Arabidopsis thaliana: one gene and its partners. The protein of the gene in region 3 interacts with the protein of the main gene of each other region in a pairwise test. Each region holds a gene or a part of one and is shown on either strand. Other genes may lie near its edges. The genes, in order: TCP17, TGA9, AT2G40260 and HAT3.

Evidence for each region.
Region 1: the proteins of AT2G40260 (region 3) and TCP17 interact in a two-hybrid assay, tested with the Arabidopsis thaliana proteins (one large-scale study listed by BioGRID).
Region 2: the proteins of AT2G40260 (region 3) and TGA9 interact in a two-hybrid assay, tested with the Arabidopsis thaliana proteins (one large-scale study listed by BioGRID).
Region 4: the proteins of AT2G40260 (region 3) and HAT3 interact in a two-hybrid assay, tested with the Arabidopsis thaliana proteins (one large-scale study listed by BioGRID).

Annotation. Positions count from the first base shown.
Region 1 is NC_003076.8:2,582,686-2,586,560, reverse strand, and holds TCP17 (TCP domain protein 17), read right to left. Parts: upstream 2,204-3,875; 5' UTR 2,040-2,203; intron 1,690-2,039; 5' UTR 1,677-1,689; coding exon 948-1,676; 3' UTR 526-947; downstream 1-525. UniProt on the Arabidopsis thaliana protein: Plays a pivotal role in the control of morphogenesis of shoot organs by negatively regulating the expression of boundary-specific genes such as CUC genes, probably through the induction of miRNA (e.g. miR164). Participates in ovule development.
Region 2 is NC_003070.9:2,622,591-2,630,578, forward strand, and holds the start of TGA9 (bZIP transcription factor family protein), read right to left. Parts: upstream 6,005-7,988; 5' UTR 5,693-6,004; intron 5,339-5,692; exon of another isoform or gene 5,231-5,338; 5' UTR 5,141-5,230; intron 5,132-5,140; exon of another isoform or gene 4,918-5,131; 5' UTR 4,862-4,917; coding exon 4,755-4,861; intron 4,279-4,754; coding exon 4,184-4,278; intron 3,683-4,183; coding exon 3,600-3,682; exon of another isoform or gene 3,223-3,599; coding exon 3,013-3,222; intron 2,334-3,012; coding exon 2,295-2,333; intron 2,135-2,294; coding exon 2,075-2,134; intron 1,744-2,074; coding exon 1,666-1,743; intron 1,507-1,665; coding exon 1,458-1,506; intron 1,353-1,457; coding exon 1,081-1,352; intron 860-1,080; coding exon 638-859; intron 1-637. UniProt on the Arabidopsis thaliana protein: Together with TGA10, basic leucine-zipper transcription factor required for anther development, probably via the activation of SPL expression in anthers and via the regulation of genes with functions in early and middle tapetal development.
Region 3 is NC_003071.7:16,815,990-16,820,394, forward strand, and holds AT2G40260 (Homeodomain-like superfamily protein), read right to left. Parts: upstream 2,742-4,405; 5' UTR 2,485-2,741; coding exon 2,166-2,484; exon of another isoform or gene 2,042-2,165; coding exon 1,965-2,041; intron 1,871-1,964; coding exon 1,834-1,870; intron 1,709-1,833; coding exon 1,606-1,708; intron 1,526-1,605; coding exon 829-1,525; 3' UTR 541-828; downstream 1-540.
Region 4 is NC_003074.8:22,320,047-22,324,534, forward strand, and holds HAT3 (homeobox-leucine zipper protein 3), read right to left. Parts: upstream 2,616-4,488; 5' UTR 2,325-2,615; coding exon 2,126-2,324; intron 1,968-2,125; coding exon 1,609-1,967; intron 1,525-1,608; coding exon 1,445-1,524; intron 1,052-1,444; coding exon 742-1,051; 3' UTR 534-741; downstream 1-533. UniProt on the Arabidopsis thaliana protein: Probable transcription factor.

The DNA of each region.
Region 1 (3,875 bases), on a different chromosome or scaffold from region 3:
GGAAAGAGAATTAATAGAAAGTGAAAAGAGGATCGACAAAAGAGAAAAGAAAAAAAGAAGAATAATTAAAAGAAGATATATAGGGATCAGTGCTTGACTTGACTGCAGATTCAGTTGCTGTCTTAACTGCCTCATCTTCTTCTCATTTTCCTTCTCTCATTCGCCAATCCCAATAAGGCAATACTCATCACCTAAATCTATCTCTATATAGCTAGTTGTTGGTTGGAGTATATGATTCTACTCACTTTACATTAATCCAATTACCGGAAAGCTGCTACAACAAATCATATACCTATATATGAATATTCAGGATAAAACGTTTTAGTTGTCGTAAATCCTTCCAATAGGTTCAATAATGCTTTTGCGGCATATTTGGTTTCGGAAATGTAAGAAAATAAATATTCGGTTCGATTAGTTTACATGTTAAGCCCAAAATATATACATACAACGTATATTTGTGTCATTGTGTGTATGAGTGTGTTTATTTCTATTTGTAGATGATATCATATGTGTTGTGTTCCTTGTATACTACACATGCATGTGGTTGTGGACATATGAGTACAAGCTAGGGTTTGGCGTGCAATGAGGCCTGTGTTATAGCATATTTAGGCACTACAAACTTTACATACAAATGTGAAAAGTTTGTATGAGAGATATTATTTATATTGATTGTAGCGGTACAATGAATTAGATATTCTACCAACTCAATCACAACATGAATTATGAATATGTACCTTTGCTCGCATCAGATTTGGCGTCTATTATATAATCTTTAATAAGACTGTCTACTATAAATACACGCATGTGACGATTAATCAATCCAACAATAACCATTAAACCATATAAATCTCCCTCTCTCTATGTACATATAGTAAATGCCTTACATGTCACATGACTTGAATTCTTCAACTTGTTAAAGATCGTCTAAAAATAATCTGCAGCTGGAACTACTCGATATGGTCTGGTTGTGAGCTTGTGCTACTAAAGAGTTGAAGTTGACCACCACCGAGAAACGAAGGGTACCTTGTTGGGAATAGAGAACTCATAGTTTCCGCCGCCGGAGGATTGAGATTATTATTATTATAGTTATTAGAAAATGCGACAGTGACGTTACCAGATTGGTCTAGTAGTGACTGTTGGAGATGTCCAAGGTTGTAGTGATAAGAGCTGCTAGACGAAGTAATTGTAGGGAAATAAAGCTTGTTGCTCTGGATTGAATTCGAGAAATGGTTGTGATGATCGATGTGATCAAACACATGATCAAGATTAACCCATTTCCTTTTCTCAAGATCCAAAGCTTCTCTCTGTGTTCTTCCAAGATCGAAGACCCCGGGAAAAGATTCTCCAAGGCCGGTGAGATTAGGGTTAAGTTGGTGAAAACCAGGTGGGAATTGCAAAGGAGGAAGCAAATCGACGTCGTTTTTGGCAACTTCTAAGAGCCAATCAATGACTTTGCTAGGCTGACTCAGCCCTAATCGTTCTTGAAGGTCGTAGACTTGGATCGCTGTCATCACCGACAACCTTATCCTCCTGTCTCGGAGACCACGAACTGTGCACACTTTGCTGTGTCTATCTTTGCCTCCAAATGCTCGGGAGACTCGCACGATCCTCGGATTATTCCATCGTTGCGTCAACAAGGACAAGGAACTTTTCTGATCTTCTTTTTTTATTCCCATGTCCTCTGTCGATCTAAAAAACAAAAAACAGATGAACAAAATCAATATTGTCATCACAAAGTGTTCAAATTCGGAATGTTTGTGGATTTTTGGGAAGCGTGATCACTTTAATTAGATGAAAGCAACTTCAATAGAGTAAATAACAAAAACCTATTAAGATCAAGAAAACGTATATTACTCGAACTGCATATTAATTTAATTTACTAGATATTTTGTGTATATATACTTAAAAAAGATCAAAGGAAAGTGATTCTCAAATCGAAATAGATTACAATTGAATCAATAGGAAGATCTGAGGATCCAAAGAGGAAAACAAAGGTTTCAAATTATATTACTGCAAGAAAAAAAGATGATTAATCTTACACAGAAAAACTGGTAAGCTTGACGAAGTCGTTGGGTTTAGACAGATCGAGTGAGTTCTTTGTCACGTAGGTTGAGGAAAATGATAAGAACCGAGATGATGAACAGTTATAATTTATTCTCTCTCGTTATCTAAAACTAAAAGTGTATAATATAACATATGGTTGAGGCTGAGCAAGAAATGATATCTATATATATATACGCTCCAATCCCTAGGGTTTTAGTTAGGTATAAAGAGCAATTTGTGTAGTGTGTAGACTATAGACACTCTTATCCACATGTTTTCTGACGGAAAGAAAGATGCTATGATTTTCATTAATCACCCATACTAATAGTAGATAATAAATAAAAACATATACATACACTGATACACATATACATAATCAAAATGTGTACACATGTATCTACTTACTTAGAGATCATTCTTTAGAATGTCTAGTCCTGAATCTTGATGATGCATACGATCATTCTTAACGATATCTTTGACTCCATTCAATAGAAAATACTAATGTAAGAAAATTACATTTTCATTACACACTACATATGGATCTTTTGCTATATATCATTCGAAACAATAGTTCAAAATTACTGAGAACCAACTTATACATTACATTTGGTATAGGGCAAATTCCATTATATATAGTATGTGATGTGCATCAGTAAATGTTAAGACCCAAAACTTTTAAAAATTAGGGGTTTCCTTTCGATTTTCTTCGTGAGATGATCCCAATTGAGCTCCATAATACTGTACATATTATAGTAGGCAAATAGATTGACAGCTAAAATGGTTGGTCTTAGATGGAGGATGGACCAAATTAAAGAGTACATGTTTTTTTTTGTTAAAATAAAGCATCTTAGATATGTAATATGCTTATATACAGATTCATGGTGGACCACTATATAATTTGCATGGCAGTGAGATATCTAGTTCATTCTTTTAAGCATTATTTATATACACTGTCAGGATATCACAATAACAGAATTTCATATAACAAAAATATAATTATTAAATTTCATAAGAATTCTTGTAATTCAATAACAATGACATTGGGGTTTTATATCAATGAGTGAATTCTTGCCATACTGCCAAATTTCACTATATATCTTATAATAAACTGTTTTACTTTTCTTTTAAACGTTTCACAATTTATGACTAATTATTAGCTGCTTGTATACAATGTGTATAAGTAGACCTCTGCGTATGTGTATCAGAGAATCAGAGATTGAGAAGTTTCTCTAGTTGGGACCTAAGGTCGGCTGAAGTAGATAACGATGATTGGACTTCAGTTTCAAAAATTTATTAGCCTTTAGTGCGTTGGATTATGTAATCTTCAAGACGATTGAAGCATATACAAGAAAATAGTTTTAACCTTTTTTCCTAGAAATTTGTTAAGTATGAACGATTCCAATTTCATAGAGGTCAAATACATTACATACTAGCGGTAGATCACATACTAGTGATGGCGGTTAAAAACGAACCTTTAATTCGGTTACCAATATTGAATTGGATACTTGGACTTGAAATAAGCGGTTAGAAGCTCAAACGAATGATTTCAAACTGATTTGTCCTAAAACCACAATCAATTTCAAGTAAACCCTGCTTATCTTTTACCACTGCAAACCGGACCATATTCTCTGATCGCTAGAGAATCTTATTAAGTTTGGTCACACAACCTAGCTGTAACCACAATGAGTGCAAAACGGTAACCACAATGAGTGCAAAACGGTAACACAGAGTGCAATTGAAACGCTCATGTGTCCCAGTTTAGACCAAAAGTTGGAATACGTGCATATGATGACGTATGCATGTCACTTACACACAGACACATTTTGGACCCA
Region 2 (7,988 bases), on a different chromosome or scaffold from region 3:
TACAAAAGTCAATACATATCAATAACAATCAATTTGATCATAATGTTTGAAAACAAGAAATTTTTTTAAAATATTTTTGTTGAGTTCAAAACAAAACATTGAAAGAGATGGAGAATACTTTTAACATATTCTCTTTGTCTTTTTTTCAGCTATATTATATATAAAAGGTAAAAACAAGTTGGTGAAAGAAATTTGGCTCTTGGAATAATTAAATCAAAGACCAAAACAACATATAATTATTATAGAACATCAAATGTTGCTTTCACGTATTGTCTGTTTCTGGATTATTTGTTTTTTTTTCAATTAGATAATTTAGCCAGCACATACGTTTGTTCATATATGTACGCAAAATATATGCACGTATTTCCGCATTTTTAAACATTTGTACATCTAGTATATATATAAAACGTTAAAATTTACCCAATATATTTCTAAAAAATATATTCGAATTCCTCTCTAACTATAAACCAAAATACGTTGCAAATTTTGTTTAGTCAAAAACTATCTACAGTTATATAGTAGGTCAAATTTTGTGTATATTTCACACGGTGTTTTTTTCTCTCGTTTGCATTCGTTTGTAATTATTGTTCGAGCAAATGAAGTAAAAAAAAAAAAAAGATAGGTGAGAAAATGGAACCTGGCGGATAAAGCCTTCGAGATTAGAGATCTTTCCGAGAGCGACAGCCATTTGTTGCATTCCGTCAATGACTGGAGATGCGGCGAGAGTATCGATGAGAGATTGCTGAAGTTGTTCGAGGCCTTGCGAGAGAGCCTCCTCTGCTTGTTGCGACGAGTGTTGTAGGCTATATATTCCCATCAGTTGTTGCTCCGTCAATAGATCCATTTGCGACACCAATATCTAAGATCACATCCCTTTCTTTAGTTAATCATGATTCCACAACTTTTTTATCACACGCAAATAATTAAACCGAAGAATACTCATTTCTGTTTACATTTTGCAGCAATGTTTCAGATTTGTTGATGTAATTTACTAACGTGAATATCATTTTGTTTTTCAAACGCAAAACCTAAAACTTACGTTTGTAATCATGGGGTAAAGTAAGGAAGAACAAGTCGAACCTTGATTAGGTCGGATGGACGGAAACCAGCCATCCAAATAAAACAACGTTCGGCTGGGGACATCCATGTCCCAATGATGAGGTGAAAAACATCGGCTTTCGCTGCCACGGCTTTTAATCGGAATATCTCATCAAAATGAGCAATGTAACCGTCAACGATCAACCTTAAATCATTGTCAGATAAATGAGCCTGAAGACCGGTTCGAATCTCCGACATATGCCGGTTATCATCCTCTAGCCATCTCCCATATTCCATGTCAAATATTGCAGCTCCTACGTACATTCGATTTTCAACATTTTGTTAATAATAGTTTAACCATTATTGTACTTATTTTAATACAATAATACATTGCAATTGGTGTTTTAGGTTTCAAGTACCGGAAGTGATGTTAGGTCCTGGTGGTCCACAACCACCCATGAACAGCCCCTACCATCGACATAAACAATATATTAATTTCAACAAACAGACATTATTAATAACCAATGAACAATTGAGAAACTTAGCAAATGACAGGTTTTGACAAATTTAAAAAAAGATTTAGCAGAATATATAGGATTATAGGAATATAAATGATTCAATTTCAACCTGAGAACGAGCTCGCTGAAGTTCTTGCTCCAATTGGGAAAGCTTTATCCTACTTGATTCTAGCTGTTGCACATACGCCTGCTCAAACCATATGTATATGCATTTGTTATTTTCATACTAGTATCATTACATATAGAATAACAAGAAATGCGGAACTTATACGTTCATAAATGAATTATAGAAGACTGGTAAATGGTAGATAAAGAAATAAATGCTCATGTAACAGCGGTTTCCAAGAAGAATAAAAGACACCACTGCGTATGTTTTACTAGTAGCAATAGCATTATTGTAATTCTATGCAACAAATTATCATTTGGAAAAAGTAGCAAAGAATATATAAATAGGTCAAAAAAACAAAAACAAATGATAATAATTTGAGGTGAAAAGTCAGGCAATTATATGGTCATACCTTTTTCCTAAGACGGCTTTTGCGAGCAGCTTCTCTATTTTGGGCCAAACGTCTCAACGTCTGCATAATCCAGATTTAAGAACATTTAAACAAGAAGTTAACGAATTAATTCAGGTAAAAAAGGTTACTAAAAAGTAAGTACATATATAGGAATGGATATGTCTCCTCGGGGGAGTCAAATAAAATGTATAGGAAATGATGATGATGAAAGTTAAAGTACCTTAGCATCAAGCTGTTTGCCTGAAGTTGTAGCCTTCCTCTGCAATGTCAGAGAACAGAGATGAAAATAGAAATTCATTCAGTGGAAAGAAAGTAAACATAAATTAAATTGTGTGAGTGAAGTCGACTCATGTGATAAATATTTAAATACCATTTACACACAATTAAAAAAACAGCATTATTAAATACTTTTTTTTAATGTAATATTAAATCTAAGCAATATGAACTCATTTAGGGAATATATGTGTTGTTAAAGTAAACATAGAAATGAGGATATGTAATCATGTAGTAAAAAGTAAATTATAAAAACAATAATAACACCTAGGAAGATTCTTCTGCTTTATTCCGCTTTTTGGGGATTTCATTTAATAATTTGTATTTTAAATTTGTCTGTTTTCATTATTTTATCAACGATTCGAGAGGTCAAAATTCTGAATTTTCTCTGATCCGTTTCCTTTTTGGGATCTGTGTATGTTTTTGTTTTATTGGAAAGATTTGTTAGGACATAGACATATATGAAAAAGCATGTGCATGCATATCTATCAAATGACAAGGAGAGAGAGAGATAGGCTAATGATATACATACCATGTACATGCACCAAATTAAGCATGCATGTTTCATGATGACTCCAAGTACGTACCATGCATATATCTCTTTCTAAAATTAAATTTTAAAAAGTGATGATGATGATGATGATGATGATGATGATGATGAGTACCTTATCTTCCGAAGGTTTAGGAGGAGCTAAAGTTCGAGAAGTGGAAGGAAGTCCAGATGTTGAACTTGAGTTTGCCATGTTATTATGATGAGGTTGAAGCATGAGATGATGTTTGCTACTCATAGGAGACTCCGGTTGTTGACTTTCAGCTTTGCCGGAGAAATTAGCCGATCCTGAATCGCTGCTCTCTCCTCCTGACTTGGAACTCTCCTGCAATACATATTCAACATAATCATACTCATCATCATTAACGTATAAGATAATTAATAAAAAGTCAGAAAAGGGATAATCAATGTAACTAAGGAGGAATTGACCTTAGCGTATATAATTTGACAAACGGGGTACTATAAGTTTATGTAATATAAAATAAAGTCAAGAGAAAGGAATGGAGTAATTAACTACTCTAAAATCGCTATCAGCTTTTGAGTTGAAAGAAGCAAAAATAAGAGATAGTAAGAGGAACAAGAAAGCTGAAACATGTATATAAAAGTGAGGGTAAAATGAAAATATAAGTTTTAAGTTTAAATAGGAATGCCGAAAAAGGAGAAAAAAACAAGAGGAAAGGGTCAAAGAAGAAGAAAGGGTACAGTAGGAAGAGTTTGGTGAGTTCTGATTGGCCACGAAGGGAACATCTCCAGAGTCGTAGCTCCTCCTCCTCCTCCTAATAAAGCTGCAATTTTACCCATCATTACATTTATCAGATATGTAATGTTCATATGTAATCATGTAGTATGCTAGCTACTTATTAAATGTGTGCATGCATGTATATGTGTTTTTGATGTAATTTAAGTAGTACTACAATATATTCTACTTAGAACTAACTACATCATTTATCACGTGGAATCTATATATAACATGACACATTTTACTAATAGTATAATTATGAATATTTTGATATAGAGGAAGTTAGGGAGTTGGTAAAAGATATTTTCTTCTTTTCTTATTTTCTAAATAAAGAGAAGAGAAATAGAAAAACAAGTCACGCCATCCAAGGCTCTCTTTTGCCTCCGTATCATCACCTAAACCTATCTAAAGACTTGTTCAGACTACTCTCAGCTTTTTATTTTGTTTTTTCCAGTTTCAGTTTTTTGCTCAGAATTTTAAAAACTTTATTGGAGTTTGTTAAGGAAAGCTCACGTCATGAAGATTTGAGAGAGAGAGGGGGGCTTACGTGGCTTGGCTTCCTCGTTCCTATACTTGACACCTTGCAGAACAATTGCTTCTTCTAGCTCTCCAAAATCGAAACTGGACGATCCATCTTGGTTACTGTTTCATTTATTAATAGTATTGTTTAATTAGTACAAAGAGAATATTCATCATGTGTTACTACAACTATACAATCAGAAACCAAGAAAAATTGGAGACCAAAAGGAACAACAATTAAATTAAAATATAAATACTTGATTAGAGGGTCGCATTTTGAGTTAGAAGATTAATAAAGACGGTCGCATATAATGAAAGTTTACACAAAAGCTAAAGCACATATAAAACCTATTTCGGATGATCCATAACACATTTTTTAGTTTCTGTTTTACCTATAGATTTCCGTTGACCATTTCATATCTCATAAATGAAACCGTATAACATATCATAATACTACTAAGAAAATGACAAATTGAGAATAAACAAAGAAAACCCATATAAAATTCAATTAGAGCTCAATATTAAGATATGTAATATGAATAAAGTTGAGCTTTATGTATATGTAAAGAAGAAAAGACGAAGGAAGATTTGTTAATTACATGAAACCAGAAGATGGATGATTGTTGTTGAGACCATGAATAAGTGAATAAGGAAGATGATGATTGTGGTTATGGTTTGTAGCTTCGCTCATTCTATGGTTCGCCATCTCTACTCAAGAAAACAGCTTCAATTGATGATATCTCTTCTTGATTAGTCTCTTTTCTGCAAAACACATTAAATCTTGAAATGATGAAAAAGATGATAATCACTATTGAGAGAAGCTCGAGTTAAGAAACACAAGAGAGAACTAGCTAGGGAGAGGGAGAGGGAGAGAGATTGCAAAGTCTTATAATTAATTCTTGATTAGTTGATCAAATGATTGGAATTTGAAAAGAAAAAGCTAGTTGATGATATGAACATGAAAGTAAGATATCTATGTGTTTACCTTTTGTGATGTTTTGCTTTTGGTGTTTGAGAACAAAGAGGAGAGAGAGAAAGTAGAATGGAAGCTTTCTCGTCAAAGGCTTTTTTATGGCTGAACAGAAAAACAAAAGAGGGTCCAATCTTTTCTCTTTCCGAGATACATATACAAAATTATGTGGGCGTGTATATATTTGTAGTTGGATAGAGAAATGATAATAAAGTATTAGTAATTGACTAATGTATAGTATCATTACTCTTTCTCTCTTTATTACTATTCTCTCTATACTTGTATGTGAAGAAACCTTTGTGATTCATCATCACTCTCTCCTTTTCACCACCTTTCTCTATCTATTTCCATAGTAAACACAAATTCCACTTGCTAAATTTCAAAATTTTATTGAAGAAAACAATAAAGAAATATTGATAATTTTTCATGGTAAATCAGACGAAGATCTTGTCCTTCCTAGACTTTGTCTCCAGGCTATATTTATGTGTTGCATTTTTTTTTGTTTTCCAAATAATAATATTGGGTTCAAAAAAGTTGTACAGAAAATTGAAAATTTAGTTGACTAACTTTATAGCTGTCAAGGGTGAAGCTAGTACTTGGCAATTGATCAGATGGAGTGGACGATCTCTATTCATACACAAACCTGAAATGTAGAAGTTAAACAGAAAATCAAAAGTCTAAGAGTGCTTAATTAAAAGAGCTTTATCCTTGTTAAGAAAAAGAATGGAGCTTTATCTTTGGTAAAGAATAAAAGAGCCTTATCCAATATGTAGAAGATAAATAAGATGATTGGATATAAGATTAATTGGACCGATCACAAGAAAATGGAGGTAGATTATTAAGAAAACTATCGACTTCTCTAGGTAGAAAAAAATTGAGCGAGAAGAAAATTAAATGAGAGTTTGTAATTTAGTCCATAAAATAAAAATAGAAGAAAGAGAGCAGAAAAAGAGGAGGAACCCACTAGAATCACTGACTCCTACTCCACAATCTCTCTCTCTCTCTTTGTAACCGCCTGTTTGTGCTTATTGGCTCTTTTTCATCAAATCTCTTTTTGGGCTTATTCACGTACACATTTTTTCAATAATCTATCATCTTTTCTGTAGTATTATTCATCGTATTCACGTACATGCCTATATCAAAATACGTATCTGTATATGTGAAAGTAAAGTGGTGAAATTTGCATAAAAGAATTGGGTTTCACTCTATCATCTTAGCAGCATGGATCATGCATGAAGTTATTTTTTCTAAGTAGTCTGTGTGTTAATCTAAAACCAAAAGAAAACTAACAGGAAAATTCTAGAATTATATCAAGAATCTTTGAATGGGCATGATATATACAGCATATACTTTATATTTTTGCCAAAAAAAAAATGATATATATATCTTTAGTCTAGTAAACAAATATATACTATAACTAAATGATCGAATACAACTCCCCAGCTATAGTTTAAGCTAAATTATATATATTATTTGGATGATCTAATGAGTTTGTTATTGGAATAGTACTAGAGATAGTGATGAAATAATGTTAATACACATAATCATAAATTCATAATCAAAGACAATGCATTAATGTGGGATAAGGAATGTTTGTTGATTTGTGTATGTATATTAAAATAGCAGAATCGAGTGAGTTTCTATTTCTAAACTACAACTCTTTTTGTTAAATGACCTTTGAGACAGAGAGAGGGATAAGAATAGTATGAATATAATACGTCTACTTATATGTAACACACTATACATAATTACAGATTTTTTTTTAGTTTCATCTTCAGTCTATAACCTTTTGAAAGCCGAGAGTGATAATATGTGAAACAGTTTCTGAAAGTTTTTTCTTCTTCTCAAAAATTAACAGCTTTTAGGCTTTAAGTTTCAAATTTGGATATAATAGAACTAGAGCAACTTTCTCTAGTCGGTTAACCTAACATACTTAAGTATTGAATAATTAACTATTTTGCCTCTACCAGTTCAACCAAAAAAGCCTTAGAATAATGACAATTATGTAGACCAATAAGATAAAATTAAACGGCCTTCTTGCATTAATCGTAAATAAATATAGAAAATAGCATTAAAATTATCAATAATTATTGTAAACATCTCAATCGAGTGTTATTTAAATTGATTAGTTTGGTATTATCCTATAATTTTGTTGATCGGTCAACATCCACTCCCTGTCATCACCTAAATCCTAATGCCACATTTCAGATTCCTTTCCTTTATTAGAAATTGTTATATGCCTCCTTTGATTCGTATAGCTGTTTTAGTCAATGCAGCTCTCTTGCAAATCCACATTTGTCATGGCTTTATTCCTTTAGTTTGTGTCATAATGACCCCCTCCGAATTGAGAATTTATTTTTCACGGCTCTTTAGATGCTTTTTTTGGGTTCGGTAGAAGTATATAACTCACGGTTAAGCTTTTATAGAATCTCAATATTAATTTGTCCATCAAGGCATCAAAATAATGTTTAGATTACCATCTCAGCCCAATACCGGCCATAATCTTATATGGAGGATGCATATTATTATGTAGACATCAATGATCAATCACTTTGGGACAACTACTCAAGCTCGTTTTCTAACGAATTGGGATTTTTGAATTACTTACTCAAAATAGTGTAGTCGGTTTTGGTCTAGCATGATCTAAAAAGTCCAACAAGCCGAGAGGCCCAAAACCCTAATATTCAAAACTTCGTGGCCTAAATGTTTCATCCTGTGTAATTTTCTTCAACAACCATTATCTTGGGTGAAAATTGTCAAATTTGCATATTTTCCATTATTGTCATTGACTTTCTGATTCGGTAACAGTCATATGATGTAAAAATGGGCCACATCCTTATTTGGTTTGCTTCAGGCCCATATT
Region 3 (4,405 bases):
CTATCGAGGAGATCAAGACATATCTCTATGTCAAGTACATCTGTCTTCTTGTCGTTCTCTCCAATTTTCTCTTAAAGAAAGTGTCTTCTTTTTTTCTTAATTAACCTCGCAACTAAATTAAAATAAACTTTGGTTGGTTATCAGAACCGATTTGTTTTTTTTTTTTTGTTTTTTTAATACAAACAAAACATTCAGCAGACCTGATTTTTAAATTAACGGACCTTTCATATAATTTCAACTACAAATCTAAAACATAGAATAATTTATAAAACGATTTTGAAGAAGGCAAAAACTCGTCTTTATAAAAATAATAATGCTATAGCTCAGAAAGCTATGACTCGGAAGTCTTCATCTTCTTTTCTTGTATTCACTGATTTGACGTTAACGTATAAATTTTCAGACAATATCTCCATGTTAAAACAAAAATATTGCTTAGGATACTTGTTATGTGAGAGTAAACTACATATACATTGCAACGTCTAGACAAGCTTATAGACAACGTGCAATGTCTTGTAACTCTCAAAACCATATATATAGACTCTCACTAATGTATTTCTTGGTTACTATACTATTTAGAAGAAAACAAATTTCTGCTCCCAACTCGATCACAAATCATATATATTTTAAAATATGCATTTAACGATCTCGACAAAATTATGTGAATTTTTTTTTAATAAAAAACATTAAAAAATGTCTCTATTATTTCCTTAATTATGGGTCTTGTCACAAGTATGCAACGAATGATAAACAACAATACAGAACCGTCTTCCATCAACAAGTACCACAAGATCTCACTTAGAATATACGTATATAAGTTGTTATACATATTCACAGAGTGAGATCAAGGGGACTTGCCAAGACCGAAATCTTTCTCTTTTTGTGATCAGTTTGATCTTCTTTCCTAATGGTTCGGTCGAGTTTTGATGAACCTGAAGATGATAACGAAAGAGACAAACTCTTGATATCTTGATGATCATCATGTTCTTTTACTTCATCTTCTAACAAGCATTCTCCAAGATTGTCGTGTGTCCGAGGTACCTTAAGGGACAAGCTTAGATCCAAATCTTGGTCTGACTTATTGCAGTCATCAGAAAATAATAACCTCTTCCTCTTCAAAACATTCTCTGATCCTTCTGCCACTCCAGCATTCTCCCATTGATAAGAATTTAGCGTTGTAGCAATATGATCTTGTGGTATTGTTGCGGTGGAGGACTTAAGATTGGAAGAGAGGCTCTGTCCCCATGATTTGTTAAACGTTTTCATACCTTCAAGAAAACTTCTATGAATTCTTGGAACAGCTCCAGCTACTCCATTGTTATCATGAACCCCTTCATGAGAATTGATTCGAAATGAAATAGTTTTGTTCTTATCGTTAAGAATACTATTGCTAACTCCGTGATATCTCTCACCAGGCTGTGAGCTAAACATTGTTTGTCTTGTTCTTGTATTTTCTCGTGTCGTTAATCCTCTCCAAGGGCTACGGTAGATCTGTCGTCTGTGGTCAGTCCACGAACCACCACCATATCTATTGAATACATTCCAAGTTACACACACGTAATTTTAACTTATAGTTTAAAGATAGCTAGCTGAAGAGTTTGTAAATACCCTAAACTAGAAGAAGGCCTTTGATCAAAACTTTGTAGCATTGGAAGTTGGCTAAGGTTGTAAGTGTAACCAGCTCCGTGTTCAAACGAAAATCCTTGATCTCCTGTAGTTATAAGAAAAGATAAAACACGAGAGACAAGAATTAGTCAATTTCTCGTCGAATTCAATTATAAGATTTATAGAAGCCCTAACTTAAATCAGAAGGTAGAAGAAAGCTAAGTAAACTACCTTCATTAGGCTCATCGGTCTTCTTGCTTCTGTACATCTAAGAAGAAAAAAAAATGAAGTATGATTTCAGATGAAGATCTCAATGATGTATATAGATATATACTCTATGTGTATGTGGATATTTGCAAAACCTGAAGATGACTCTTAACATGGGCAATACTTAGCCCCTTGACGTTCATCAATTGGAGAACAAGCTTCGGTGTTGCTCCTGTTTCAACAAAATCATTGAAAGAGACCCCAAATAAATATCAACAAGAAAACCCTAGAAATTTAGAGATCTTCACATATGCAATGATCTTGATATTGATTCATATATATAATTGAAACTCAACTATCTGGGCCACCCAATCTCTCCACAGCTTGAAGAAAGCAAATATGGAGCTCCGGCGTCCATCGCAGCCTCGGAGTCTTTGAGCGGTTGTACGGCCTCACGGATCCTCCATTCTTCTTGTTCTGATCATGGTGGTGACTCCCACTCTCTTCCTCATAGCTATTGCTAGATGGGCTCTGATCTCCAGATCTCTCTTCTTCATCCTCTTCGCCTTCTTCATCATCCTCTTCATCTTTATCTTCTTCATTCTTGGTGGTTGCTTTGATGTTGTTAGATAGACAAGTCTTGGAGTTTTCAGAATTTTGGCTGCTTGATCTCATCTTGGTCTCTAGCTATTTGGCTGTTTTTGTGTTGTTTGTTTTGAGGTTGAACCTTTTTGGTCTATCTTGGAGTTCTCTGGACAAAGATCAAACAAAGATCACACACTCATACATATGTGTTAGGAATTTAAGGTGAAGACTTTTGATGGTCTATGTGTATGACTTTTTGGATGCTTGTATCCATCATTCCTTTTTCTCCCCCTCTCTCTCCAACTCAACATATATGTTGAAATATGTATATGATGGCAACGGATATTCTAAATTCTATTTAATATATAGCTTTTTATTACACCAATGGTTTTTTCTACAGTTATATACATCTTAGGGAAAGATAGATCTAGAATTACACCTCATGACAAAAATGGTACTTTTAATTTCATTAAACATTAGTAACTTCAGTCATAAGATGTATTTTAAAATGAGTTAATAACTATTAAGTCAATTAGTACAATTAATCTTTGAATCTCGTTGTGATAGGGAGTGAAAAGAAATTCCAAGGAGTAGATTGAATTTATCTAAATAATGATCATTTTCATGGTAAAAGATCAAACGTTTTCATGATATCAACCCGTACGTATACCAATTTTATGACATAAATCAGGGTTCAATATGACATGTACATTAACAATTTTTTTTGTTCTTTCTTTCAAAACCAACTGAAGATCTATGTTTTTCATTGGATTTGGTACGTGTTTTTGTTTCATTCGAACTAGCTTTTAGCAATATAGGAAGAAGGCAACATTAATGAGGCATACACATTAATTAGATAAATGAAACTTCTTCCATCGTTACAACTCATGAATTAAATTGACTAGAAAAGCAAAGCATAAAAGGGGATGGTTAGGGGGATGGGCTCGTGACTTCAAAGCCAAAGCTGTGAAACCAGAAAAAGAAGAAACCCAAAAGCATAATTAGATAGATAGACAGAGAAAGAGCATAGAGAGAGGAATCAGACAGAAGTTAAAAGGTGCTTGGCTGGGCTGTCTTCACTGAAAGACACGAGAAGAAAATATTACTACTTGTTTCTGTCACCAACGACAATCACGGGTTTGTCTCCATCTCCACTACTCTTACGATTTCATATTATCTATAATTATCTACACATGCGCCTCTCTCTATATACATGCAAATAGTACATCTCTTTTTCTATATATAACCCAAATAAATGTTAAAAAATAAATAAATAAATTAGGATACAGAATATAACAACTGAAGCTAATAAGTCACATGATTATCACAGAATTGAACTTGAGAATTATATGAGTTTCTGTACGTACACACATGCAACCAATTGATTTAGTTTGGAATTCAGTTCAGGGGTGATTAGTTCGTTCTATATAGCGTACGTACTATTAAAATTACTAGTAAAATACTAAACAAAAGATATGTTCTAATTAAGTATGTCATACTTTTATTTTTGTGAAATTAAGGAAGTAGGCAAAGTAGGGGATGTCATACTTTTTTAAGAACTTAGAAAGGAGAAAATTAAAATGTATAATATATGATTTACTTATTGTCATGAACTTTGCGCCTCCAGGAGAGGGTCAAGGCAGAATTGTATCTATCTGTATTCCTCTAACATCAGCAGGCTAATTTTTCTTGTAAGCGACATGCAAGTACTGTGTCAAATTTTGTGAATGGTGACCAGATAATGTGAAAGTCATCGGTCAAATAAATTAGGTATATGACATTTCTTTCTGTTTTTTTTTTTTTTTTCAAAATCGTTTTTGGAAGCCCAATGTCCAGCCGTAATCGTATATTTTCGTCGTCGTTATTAATTGGTAGGAAGAATTAAAGCTGTCGTATATTTTGGTTTTAAAAGTGTAGCAATAATAATTTACGTTAGAATGACGTTCTTCATATCTACCCTATAATCCTACTTCCATGCTCAGACAACCCATGATCAATTATACGACCCAAC
Region 4 (4,488 bases), on a different chromosome or scaffold from region 3:
TGCCAAAAATTGAAACACCGAGAGATATCTTGGTCGTACCTCTCATTTTCTCTTTCTCTGTCGGTTGAGATCTTTTGACATAAGGGAAGAAAAAAATATCGTATCTTCAGTGTTCTGCAAGAGATTCTAATGGTCTGACTTCGTCTATGTGGACCCAAATATCTCCATATACATACCAAATGCTATGTTATGTCACGTACATGTCTCGATATTCGTATTGGCTAACATTTACTTATTACATATGCAAACAACACACGCTTGCTCCATCAATCATAACACCTTTCATTGCTTCTTTTTACTTTATACTTCTAACTAATCTTCTACTGTAATTAATAATCATCTTTACAAATCCCTTTCTTAAGTTCCAAGCAAAAGAAAGAAAACCCCAATTAAACAATTACAACTTTAATAAATGACGCTCTTGAAAATTAGTTTATGCACCATTCGTTATTATGATTCGATGGCCTTAAAATAGAACTCTGGATTTGGTGAAAAACAGATATGATGTAATCAAAATATATAACAATAAAGAATGATAGAACCTCTTATCTTTCCCCAAACTAATAATTGGACAATAATATTAGTAGATTTTCCATTATCCAGAATTCAGCTATAAATAGAAACTGAATAAAACAAAGGAAAGAAGAGCATGGGACCAACTCTTGAAAAGAACTTCCAAGTCCGTTCAACAATATAATAAAAACAAATCACCAAACCTATTATCTTTAGACTAATTAAACTCTAATGAGAACCAGCAGCAGGTCGTTGCCGTAGAGGCATGGCAGCCCACGGACTCATCGGACCCATCGGAGACGATGAATTCATCACAGGAGGAGCCACCGATGACGAAGATGACGTAACAGCGACTCGCTCGCAAGAAGGACACATTGTGAGAGTAGTGGGAGGTTTCATGTGCATGTATAAGTGTGGAGAAAGCTTTAAAGCCCTAAGCTCACTCACTTCCTTTTGCAATCTCCGATTCTCATCCGTTAGATTCTCGCAACATCTCTTAAGATATTCACAGTCTACTTCCGTTTGCTTCAGCTTCGTCCTATAAACACACACACAAACAGTCCAAAACATTAAAATCCGATATCCGGTTTAACTATCCGGGAAAGAGAAAACCCGAAGTACATTTGTTTCTTGTATTCGAAACTGGCGGTTATTGTTCTTGAACCGGAAAACTGAAAACACTTTAACCAAAATTTGACTCAAAAACAACATTGGCGGTTTTAATTCTTAAACCGGGAAAACTGAATAGCTTAAACCAAACCTCCTAATTTAAGACATGAGAGACCCATTAAAATCCTTTAGGATAATCTTATGGGTCATAAAATGGACCATTACACATATCACCATCATAGCAATAACTACTAATGTTTTATTTGTTGGACTATATAAAATTTACGAAAGTAACCCCTTAAAATAGAATAAAAATTTCTACCTTGCCCTTCGGTTTTGGAACCACACTTCAACTTGTCTCGTCCTCAGATTCAATTGCTTAGCCAAAGCCATCTTTTGCTTCTGCATCCAACAACAACAAAAAAAGTCAATGAAAAACATATAAAAAGTCAACCTATTGAAGAAAACTACGGAAATGCCACTGACCGGATTGAGTGTACTATGTTCTTTAAAAGTTTCTTCAAGAACCAAAGCTTGTTCTTTAGACAATCGGAGTTTCTTCCTCGAACTGTCATCTCCGTTCCCGCTACCGTCTTCATCGTCGCTACCACCGCCGAGCGAGCAAGAAGCTCTCTCAATCTCATTATCTTCTACTCTACCTCCTCCAACTGCACCTGCCGCAGCCATTAGCTCTCGCTCGCTCTTCTTCCCGCTCATCACGCTTGAGACGGTGCTGTTCGGAGACGAAACTCCGGCGCCTTCATCCTCCACGTCAACCACCACCGTCGATGGAGCTCTGTTCACGTCTATTCCCCGGAGAAACGATCTCATGTCCGAGTTTCTCTCTGCACGTTACGTTAATCACGCCAAATGATTAAAAATCACAAACATATCAAGAAAATTTTATCTATTATAGGATAAAGTGTAATAAAAAGATCGGATCTAAAACAAAGAAACCTATAATCTTAGACATGAATCTGGATTAGTAAAAGGAGGTAAATACCTGATGACTGAAACATGTTAATCCAAGTGTTCTGAATCTTTTGAGGATGGTTATAATTGCTCTGCTGCATATGCTGCATGTGTGATGAAGATGCATAAGAAGCCAGAGGCATTGGATTTAACCTCGAAGACGGGTCCTTTTGATTAAAACCTAAACTCAAGCTCAAACTTAGCCCCAATCCATCATCTCTTTCACTCATTTTTCTCAACCCCAGAAAGAAGAAAGAAGAATTCTGTCTGGGTGCTCAAGATTTTTAAGCGAGGAAATGAATAAATGACTCTTTCTCTCTCTCTTTCTTAAAGATGTTGTGCCACTGCCTCTACACTTGTGCAGCAGTACAGTTTCAAAAGATATGGCTTATATTTATTTATATATGCAAAAGAGTTTTTTCAGACAAAGAGATATGGGGTTGTGGGGAGGCTTAGGGTTTCAATGATGACTTGTGTCAGAGAGACCTCTGTTACCTCAATGATGATATATACTGCATAAAAACCTGCTTCCTTCTCTCTTTATTTTAACTTAACCATGGTTAAAATTAAAACCAGGAGTTATTACTTTCACCTCACATCCCTTTTCAACCATGGTTAATTGATTTATTATAAGAAAAAAAAAAGTCCAAGTCTCTTGTTCTTTCTCTATCATTTTCCGTTTGGTATATTGTAAGTTGTCACTATTCTTAATTACAAAATAACCTATGAGCGTTTTTCAAATATTATATTAGATTCTTATACATATGATAAACTCATTCACCCAAATCCATTCATGTGAGGTTTTACTAAATATAGATAAAAGCTGAGTTTCTACTTTAAAAGATACTAAAGATTAGTAGTTGACAATATAATTGAGTAGAGATTTTGTGTACCCGAGTTTCAAAGTAAAGAAAATGTAAAAGAAGCTCTTTTTCAAAAACACACAAACAAGCATAATTGGCTTTTTGTAATGTGGCTTTCATTACGAAAGCGGCTTTCTCGCTCGTTGACCGTTGACTGATTGAGAGGATTAAAAAAGCAGCGACCAGACGGTAAAATCCACGCGCTCGTGAGGGTGATCAAATAATGATATCATATCATAATAATTAATAAATCATCATCATCATCAGTATCATTATGAACATCATCATCATATCATGCCTTATTGTTATCATCATAACTTTACTTCTCCCTCTGACCATTGGGGTCCTACGTATCTCAAAAATAATGCAGCTTCGCTTTAATATTAGTACTCTTAAAGCATAATTTGTAGTACTGTATATCAAACCATATAATTGTACTTCCCATTTTAACATGGAATTATATCCTTAAAACAAATCTCACCCACTCTCCAAATTCACCATCACTTGTTAACTTGTTGGTTAGAAAAGGTTCTTTAAGTTAGCTTTATGGTGAATATGTTTCATCATTGGCATTCGATTATGACAACTATTTTTTTTTTTTTGAGAAAAGATCAGCTAAATTATGTTTTTCTTAGTAGTTTTAAACCATTCTATAACCTTTATTGGGTAAAATTATATAACCTAGTTACAAACCAAACTTTCTTAAAGAATGAAATGAATTATTATTCTTCAATGGGTTATTGTTAAAATGTGATTATGAGGATGTTGGAATAATAGGTAAGCGTGAAAGAATAGATACGCGCGAATGGGCGAGTGTGAGGTGGGGGGAGAATAAGGCGGTGGGCTCAAAATGGGTATGGAATCAGGAGGGGGCAGAGATACGGTGTCGTATAGATAGGTTACAGAGAACCTAAAAGCCCTAAACACTGCATGGATTTTGAGTTGTCTGCGAATCCAACATGCATTCCCATTCCATGCCTCCCTCCTTCATTTATTGTTCCTTTTTCCCAATGTGATACCAAAAGATAATTAACTTTCTCATTAATTTCATCTGTCAGTCAAACATAAATAAAAACGCACGACAAGTGGTGTTGGCTGATTTTTATGACTAATAAGAGAGTAATTAAATTACTATTTAATTAATGATGACTCCATATATGTTATTGATATTGCCATCATTACTTCTGCCTTCAGTCTCTTCAAAACTTTCAGCAGTTACACAGACAAGACAGGTCAGCTCTATTTATTTAATTTCCTGCTCGTGTTTAATTTATATGTTTGATTTTACATTTACACAGGAAACAATCTAAACATAACCCTTCTTCTCATTTATTTTCTCCATTAATAACACTGTTACTTAGATTTTTAGAAAACACCAAAAAAAAAAGCATTTGTGAAAATAGAAAGACAAAATATATTTGATCAAGTTTTCCTTTTATTATTAACACACTTATTCAACGCAAAAAAAAAAAAAACATAGCCAAAGTTTATTTGTTTTACCTCTTTGTTATACGAGAGACTTTCAAGCTCT